Linked DNA regions of Nothobranchius furzeri. The protein of the gene in region 1 purifies or fractionates together with the protein of each later gene. This does not show direct contact. Links are inferred from orthologs where the notes say so. Each region holds a gene or a part of one and is shown in the gene's direction. Other genes may lie near its edges. The genes, in order: phgdh and epn1a.

The links.
Region 2: the proteins of phgdh (region 1) and epn1a purify together in Homo sapiens (affinity purification with mass spectrometry; 3 studies listed by BioGRID and IntAct, with this or other methods). This does not show direct contact. The link is inferred for Nothobranchius furzeri from reciprocal best matches to the Homo sapiens genes PHGDH and EPN1.

What each region holds. Positions count from the first base shown.
Region 1 is NC_091754.1:20,299,065-20,302,982, forward strand, and holds the end of phgdh (D-3-phosphoglycerate dehydrogenase), read left to right. Parts: coding exon 1-13; intron 14-1,396; coding exon 1,397-1,535; intron 1,536-1,636; coding exon 1,637-1,764; intron 1,765-1,834; coding exon 1,835-2,057; intron 2,058-3,101; coding exon 3,102-3,256; 3' UTR 3,257-3,472; downstream 3,473-3,918. UniProt on the Homo sapiens protein: Catalyzes the reversible oxidation of 3-phospho-D-glycerate to 3-phosphonooxypyruvate, the first step of the phosphorylated L-serine biosynthesis pathway.
Region 2 is NC_091745.1:76,110,167-76,113,984, forward strand, and holds part of epn1a (epsin-1), read left to right. Parts: intron 1-14; coding exon 15-172; intron 173-341; coding exon 342-413; intron 414-2,581; coding exon 2,582-2,665; intron 2,666-3,818. UniProt on the Homo sapiens protein: Binds to membranes enriched in phosphatidylinositol 4,5-bisphosphate (PtdIns(4,5)P2). Modifies membrane curvature and facilitates the formation of clathrin-coated invaginations. Regulates receptor-mediated endocytosis.

The sequences.
Region 1 (3,918 bases):
CCTAGTTGGAGCAGTAAGTCTAATTTTACTTTCATGTAGCTTTTTTTTTTTTAATTACCAGCTTTGTTCTTACATGTTTGGGGGATTCTATTTTGGGAACTTTGTAGAAAACAGAGAAGTGGATTTAAACCCTGCAGAGCCCTAAAGATGAAGTGAAACCAGTTTTTATGCGTATGTTTAATGTACCAGGAACTTATATTCTGTCATGTCTCGTGGTATGTGTTTAACCCAAGACATGCAGTAATCTGACTCGACGAGCAGGTAGGATGAAATTAAAGTCTTTATTTATTAACTGGAAAAAAAGGTGCACAGGGAAGTCCTGTGGAGAGGGTGAGCAGTAGCTCGAGTCCATAAACGTTCGGGGAGATCGAGGTGAGGAAGCCGAGGTGAGCTCAAGTCAGTCCAGGGGTGATCAGGAAACAGGTTAGACAGCGGAAGGGATCCAACCAGGCATAGCGGAGGAGGATGGGACGTGGTGTGAATGTCCAGTCAGTAAAACAGCAAGTTGAGGCAGGTTGAATGGGATTCTGGAGAGAACAAACAACATCCAGATTTCAGGGTAATCCAAAGAGTAATCAGAGCGGTCCAAGTTCAATAATCCTAAATATCCTATATTCGAGTGACGAGTTCACAAAACAAGAGCGAGTGGCTGGGACTACCTATACAGGGGCAATCATCCGGCGTAATGAGGAGTCACCATCCTCCTTTTATACCCGCGTCCCTGATTGGAGATGTTCTGCAGCTGCGGCCCCCTCCGCTGTCACCTGTGGGAAATCAGTCAGATAGAGTGAGATGGGGGTGATGTCACTCACCTCGGCTCAGGAGCATCACATATTCAGCTGAAGTGGTGCCACTGCATAGGGTGTCCTGATTCTTTAGTGTAGACCTCGGCCCCACTCCTTTGCTCCCTTGATGCTCACTTTGCTGAGGCCTGCATGGACGTAGACTTTGGCGAAGGGTATTACCCACAATCCATTGCTGCATGGGAATTTTGAGAAGAAGGTGGAAAAACATTTCTGCTGAAAAATGTTGTTGAATGATAACAGTGCTGGTGTGCATATTTGAACATGATATAATATCATTTTAAGCGACTGGCATCCAAATTTAAGAAATCACAGACATACAATGCGGTGGCACAGGTCGATGACAATGCTCACTGTCTCATTTCTGCAGTTATTTGCACACTTGTTTACTACGCACTGCCTGGAGGATGTTGCTATTTTCATTCGAATGTCCTTCAAATTTCCCTTTTTCCCCTCTTTGGAGAGGAGAAATCAGTCAGATAAACATTTGTTTCAATGGACATGCTAGTGGAACTTTCCAAAATCTTTGGAGGTGTGACAAAATGGTGAAGCATCACCAAACCACACTTTGCCTCTGTGTCCTCCTCGTACAGGTGAACGCCCAGGTTTTAGCCAGCACGTTCTCCCAGGAGTCTCAGCAGCTCATCAAACTCGGAGAAGCCATTGGAGCGGTGCTTCGGTCCTGCAGTGCATCCAAGAAACCACTCAGTCGTGTTCAAATCACCACTCAAGGTAATTTATCTGTTTCTTGTTCTCCCTCTAGTGGTGCAATCACAATATGACCAGTTCTTGTCCTAATTATTTCCCTTGCTTCAATTTTTTCCGCAAACTAGGGGACTGCATGAAGTCCTGCACCGGGTTCATGACCTCAGCGGTACTCGTCGGACTTATGAGTCGGGAATCAGGATGTTGCCCGAATCTCATCAACGTACTGAGCCTCACCAAGGAGACCGGAATCACGGTAATAACAAATACCACATGACAGTAGTCTGTTATCCATCCAAGAACTAATGACTGAACTATGTCTTCAGGTGAATCAAACCCACTGTGAGTCTGGCGGGGTAGCAGCAGGTGTGTGTGAGGTGGTGATCGAAGCCGATGGCTGCAGCTTAAAGGGCATCGGAGCAGTTCTAGGAGGCGTTCCTGTCCTGCTGGGGCTGAGCGACAGCGTGTTCAGACAACCCGTCACTCTGGCTGGAAATCTGCTGTTCTTCCAGGCCTCTGCCAGTCCTCAGCTGCTGTCCTCGGTGGCTGGTGAGGAAACACATGACTGCATCAAAATCAACACTGTTTAATTAAAACAATTGTTTTATTTATGTGTCCTTCTGTGTGAGGGTGCTAGATGTAAAGTCCAGTTTGAAATGGAAGACATAAATAAAAATGCACTCATTGATGAACCATTTCCTCATAAATCATTGTCACCGTGGTGACCATCAGGGATTTCCACCCGTACATTGACCCTGAAATTATCAATGCTAATGAAACATATTGCTTCTTAGATGATCTTTTTTGCAAACTTTAGCTTAATGTGGATATAATTCTAATTGTGGCTCTGTTTAAAGGTTGTGAACAAAGAATACCTTACCTGCTTTAGATTGAACAAACTCAGTTTAGAGGAATAGTTTAAATCTAATCAGATTGAAGAAGAAGAAGAAAATATCTTTTCTACAGCGCCTCTCAAGATAAAAGTCACGAGGCGCTTCACAAAAACAGAAAATGTAAAAATATAAAAAAGAATTTAGAAAATGGTTAAAAAATTATTTAAAATGAGCAAAAAATAGACAATTGTGATTAAAAAATGTCCACTGAGTGAGTCCACTGATCTCAGGCTCAGAGGGAGAGAGTTCCAGTCTGGGGGCCACAGCAGATTGATGAGCTAACAGCTAGTTTGAGTAGAGGCAAGACCGGAAGGAGTTAGTATAATCTTACCCAGTCTCAAAAATTCAGTTTTTCCAACCTTTGTGTAAATAGCTATTAGTTTAGCTATTTTTGTTATCTATGTGCAAAAATAACTATAGCTATTAAAGTACATCCTGGCACACTACTTATAGGATTTTCAGGATATTTCTGCTGGATTGTCGATGCAATGCAACCCTAATTTAAAGATTTACTAAAAGTTTTATTTTGAAGGGGAATTGTGTGATTTAAATCACATCTTCTGTCACTCTGATGCTTTTACCCATGACAGTTCTTAGTTTAGATGAAAGGTGCTGATTTAGGAGTTCTAAATTACAATGTTTCTGGACTCTTCCCCCTTAAATTCACGCCTCTACTCCCTTTCCAATTGTTTTTTTTTAGGAGTGTTGGCCTCAGAGGGAGTGCAGATCGAGTCTTTCAGCGCTCCTGTGGACCACACCGGGGATGTGTGGTATTGTGTGGGGGTGTCCTCTCCCCTGCAAGATCTCAGTGCCTTGGAGCCTTTGGTTAAAGATGCAGCTCAGCTTTGTGTTTAGGATGTTGGGAACCATAGTCCCAGAATAACATTTAGTATTTGAAAAATCTTTAAAGCTCTTAGGATGAATGCCTTGTTTTGGATTTGTTTTTATGGTTAACATCTTCTTTTAGCAGTTGCAAAAGTTTAAAACTTGTATTTTTGTAACATTCTGGTGTTTAGTTGTTCGACAAGCTGGAAGTAAAATACAAATAAAGTGTTTGTTGTGTGCTGTTGAGTTTGGCGGTTGTGTCATTGGAGAAAAAATGTGAAAAAAAAAAGATGCTGTGACCCTAAAAGACATTTAATTTAGCATAAAAGGCTTGACTGTGAAGCTGGTTCAGAGCATCGTATAACATTTTTACACTTGTTAATTAAAAACAGAGACAATGTGTGATTTTTACTAATAATCTTTGGAAATATCCATCGAAATGTTGTTTTGTAACATATAACTATTAAAATTAGGTCTAAAAGGCATGTGAGTCATGATGCCATGTTTCCTTCTACAGGAGCCCGTGAGGACAAAATGCATTTGCTGATTTGTAACAAACTTACAAAACTTTCACCATTTATAAACGTTGTTTTACACATTTACCTTTTCACTCATTGCCAGTGATGGAAAAGAGTCTGATGTGCTTGTTGCTTTGCTGGAGAATGCACTCCCAGGGATTTTTGACCCTAATG
Region 2 (3,818 bases), on another chromosome or scaffold:
TGTGTCCACTGCAGCATCCTCAGCCCCATCAGCCCCCAGCCTTGGTGGCAGCCTGTCCATGGGCTCTCATTCTTTAGGGGCAGATCCTGAGCAGGCGTGGCCTCAGAGCTCAGGGGAGGAAGACCTTCAGCTTCAGCTGGCTTTGGCCATGAGCAAAGAAGAGGCAGAACAGGTATCACAGAGTTCTTTATTAGCCTGCAGCGCTAGCTTACACGCTCTTTTTTTTTTTTTTTAAGCAACATTTGCTGTTTCAGTGCAATGCAGCAACAGTGTAATCGTATTATCTGCTGCTGCAGAACACCTAGCTTGGCTCTCACCATTTAACCACTGACCTCCCCCAGAATAGCGCGGACCCTCTGGAGGATGCAGAGCTTCGCTATGCAATCACACTCAGCAAAGAGATTCACCAAAAGGTCAGGGGCAGAGAGTGTGTTCTGCTGAGTGGAGAGCCCGTCATCAACTATCTATTTTCCTGTCACTTGGAATTACTCAAGTGCATACCAAATATTGATTAATCAACAAACTTTATGCTTGCTTTTGTCTTTTGGGATTTTCTTGGATGTGTTTTTTTCTTTTTTGCACAAGACTGCAGTTATTCTGCGATAAATGACTTTGCTGTTCCGCGTCACATCCCTTCATAATCCTAAAAACGTGCCAAACCCTGAAAGGATTGAACAGTAATCAAACGTAATTAATTAATTTGCATGATATTTGCCAATACATGACATATTCATGAATGGATGTGTTGTAAGTATTGATTTTTTCCCCCTCCGTTTCTTGTAGCATGCATTCAACTGCAGCACTGATCTGAAAAACTTTCTTACCTGCTGCACCTTTTCTTGCTGTAATAACTTTATATTGATTTGTTTACTTGGTGCAAAACTTGGGGTTCAAGTAGTACGTTGGTCAGCTGACTGAACTACCTGAGTTAAAGGGACATTATGGAAGTTTGACAGCCAAAACGTGTATAGAAATAATAAATGTCTTCTTCATACATTCTCCTGCAATGCCCTGGTCCTGTAGAATGAGCCCTGGCATTTTTACTGTGATTGCTTGTTTTTCTGTAAAATCACAGAAAAAGAGAGATGCTCGGGTCGAGCAGGCTGCTTCATGCGCGTTCACGCTCAGGCATCGCCCGTAGCATTTGCTATCTGTAGCTTTAGCAGCAGAGAGAGAGGCAGTGCCACTTTGTCGCTGTTCCTAATGCCTAGTGACAAAGCTAGCTACATTTCTGAGGACCCTTAGCTACTTTCTGTAGAACTTTCTTCTAGATATTTCCTGCAAAATATCAACAAAATAGCCATTTTCACTCCGAACCGTTCTTTGGTTTGATGTTGTTTCAGCTGTCATCAAGGATATAAATGTTACAGATACTGTGAATGTTACTAGAGTGTAGCTCACCTTGTAAGATGTCTGACTCTCATGCAGAAGACCTGGGTTCAATTCTGGGTGTGAACTTAATTCATTTAGTTTCTTTTTTACATTAATGGCTACACACACACACACACACACACACACACACACACACGGAACTGTCTCAGCTGTTATTTTCGTTAAGGAGTGCGCACGTACAGCATGCGCGCCTCGTGCACGAGCCTACTATTGAAGCTGCCATTACGCTTTTGGCCTGAGGGGGCAATCGCGAGCATAAAAATTCAAAAGTCAGTAAAGTCCCTTTAAGTCTGTGAATCAAAGTGGGTGTTTCCAAGAGGATGGTATTGATGTTGGTTAATTTACTGATTGATAGTCAATCATTTCTGTAATAGTTGTATAAAAGGTGGTTTGTTTAAATGCATCTAAAAGATTCTTAATAATAGAGTAGAGCTGGTTAACTGATAGAATGTTTATCTGCTTTCATCCATTGGTTTGGCTGTAGTAGGCAGCAGTAGCTCAACAGGTTGAGCGGGTTGTCCAGTAATCGGAAGGTTGCTGGTTCGATCCCGGCTCCGGACAGAGAATTCTGCTGTTGTGTCCTTGGGCAAGACACTTAACCCAACTTGCCTGCTGGTGGTGGTCGGAGGGACCGGTGGCGCCTGTGCTCGGCAGCCTCGCCTCTGTCAGTGCGCCCCAGGGCAGCTGTAGCTACATTGTAGCTCATCCCCACCAGTGTGTGAATGTGTGTGTGAATGGACGAATGATACACTGTAGTGTAAAGCACTTTGGAGTCCTTCCTCTGAGAGGCGCTATCATTTATCATGACAGAAATGGAGCAGAATCAGCAGTTTCTTCATCTAAACCGTCTAAAGTTACATTTATTTTTGTTTTCCATTTGACTTGTTTCCCGAGTAAAACTTCATTAAAGTAAGAAAGCTTCCTCGGGCCTTCTAACATGCATGACTATTGGATTAATTGGTTGATTAGTGTTAATCATGAATGAAGTATCAGTTTCCACAGGTTCAGAGATTAGTTGTCCAGTAAGTGTGTGTGTGTGTGTGTGTGTGTGTGTGTGTGTGTGTGTGTGTGTGTGTGTGTGTGTGTGTGTGTGTGTGTGTGTGTGTGTGTGTGTGTGTGTGTGTGTGTGTGTGTGTGTGTGTGTGTGTGTGTGTGTGTGCGTGCGTGTGTGTGTGTGTGTGACTGGCAGGAGGAGCGGCTTCGCAGAGGCGATGATCTGAGACTGCAGATGGCCATTGAAGAGAGCAAGAGGGAGAAACCCAAACCAGAAGAGGTGTGTGAAACATCAGTCAGTGTGTGGATGATTTCTCACTCTCATGGCTTTAGCTTCATCTGCTACATATGTCAGATGTGTGTTTGTAGTCCGTCCCATTCACTGCCAAAAGGTTTTACACAGCAACTGTGCACATAACAGAATAACAGGAGTTCTCATAAAGTTTGTATAAAATAAAAAAATCAAACCTTTTGACCCTTTGCACCGACGTCACCTAATCACGTGGGTCCACCATGCTGGACGGCAAAAGCATGTAAACAGTGAGCGACACGAGTACTAAACAAAGGGAAAAGAAGAGCCTGAAATTGTTTTTGCGATCAAAACAAAAACAAAACTCCTCCAGCATTCCTTCCACTAGTTCTTGCCCAGTTCAGTTATCAGAAGAAGTAGTGCATCTAGCGGTATGCTAACTAGCTTACCAACGTTAGCTTACGTTCTCTCTGCAGCTGTTCACCGCTGACTTTGCCTAAATTCACCCCTCTGGATTTATAACTTTATGTTGTAAACAGCGTTTCACTTTACACCGAAGCTGATTTTTAAAAAGTCCGGATCCCTACCAGCTTCTGTTGCTGGTGGTGTTACCGGGTTCAGCTGCTGCTCTCACACCGGAATGAGAAGATCTCTGAACGCCAACGCTCATATGAATAAATAACGTAATTTTAACCCACGTAATCATACATCGGAGCTTTAATATTGTTAATAATTGTCTCGCTGTACACGACAGTGGACGGAGCGCATCCTCCGTGGTGAAATACCCATCCATCAGGTTTATCAATAACCAGTATAAACACATCACATTCATCCCTGTCCCTGTCTTCCTCGTGAAATAAATTAACGTTAATCTTACCCGGTAAAAACATGTTCGCTGCAAATCTGAGGGCTGCTTGATCGCTGCAGTTCATCTCCGTCCTCAGTCTCCATCAAAGTTATTAAAAAAACAAAAGGAGTTGAGTTTACATCCTTGTCTGTTAGTGCAGCCGACCACGCAGCAAGCTAAAACCATTTTACTGTCAAATCACCTAAATAAAAGCGATAAAAAGCTACAAACTGACTTGTTTTGACTACCTTCACTGGAGTTTCTACGGGTGTAAACGGTCTTTTTGCCGTCCATCATGGCGAAGGGGGCGGTCACATGAGTGGTGTGACGTCACGT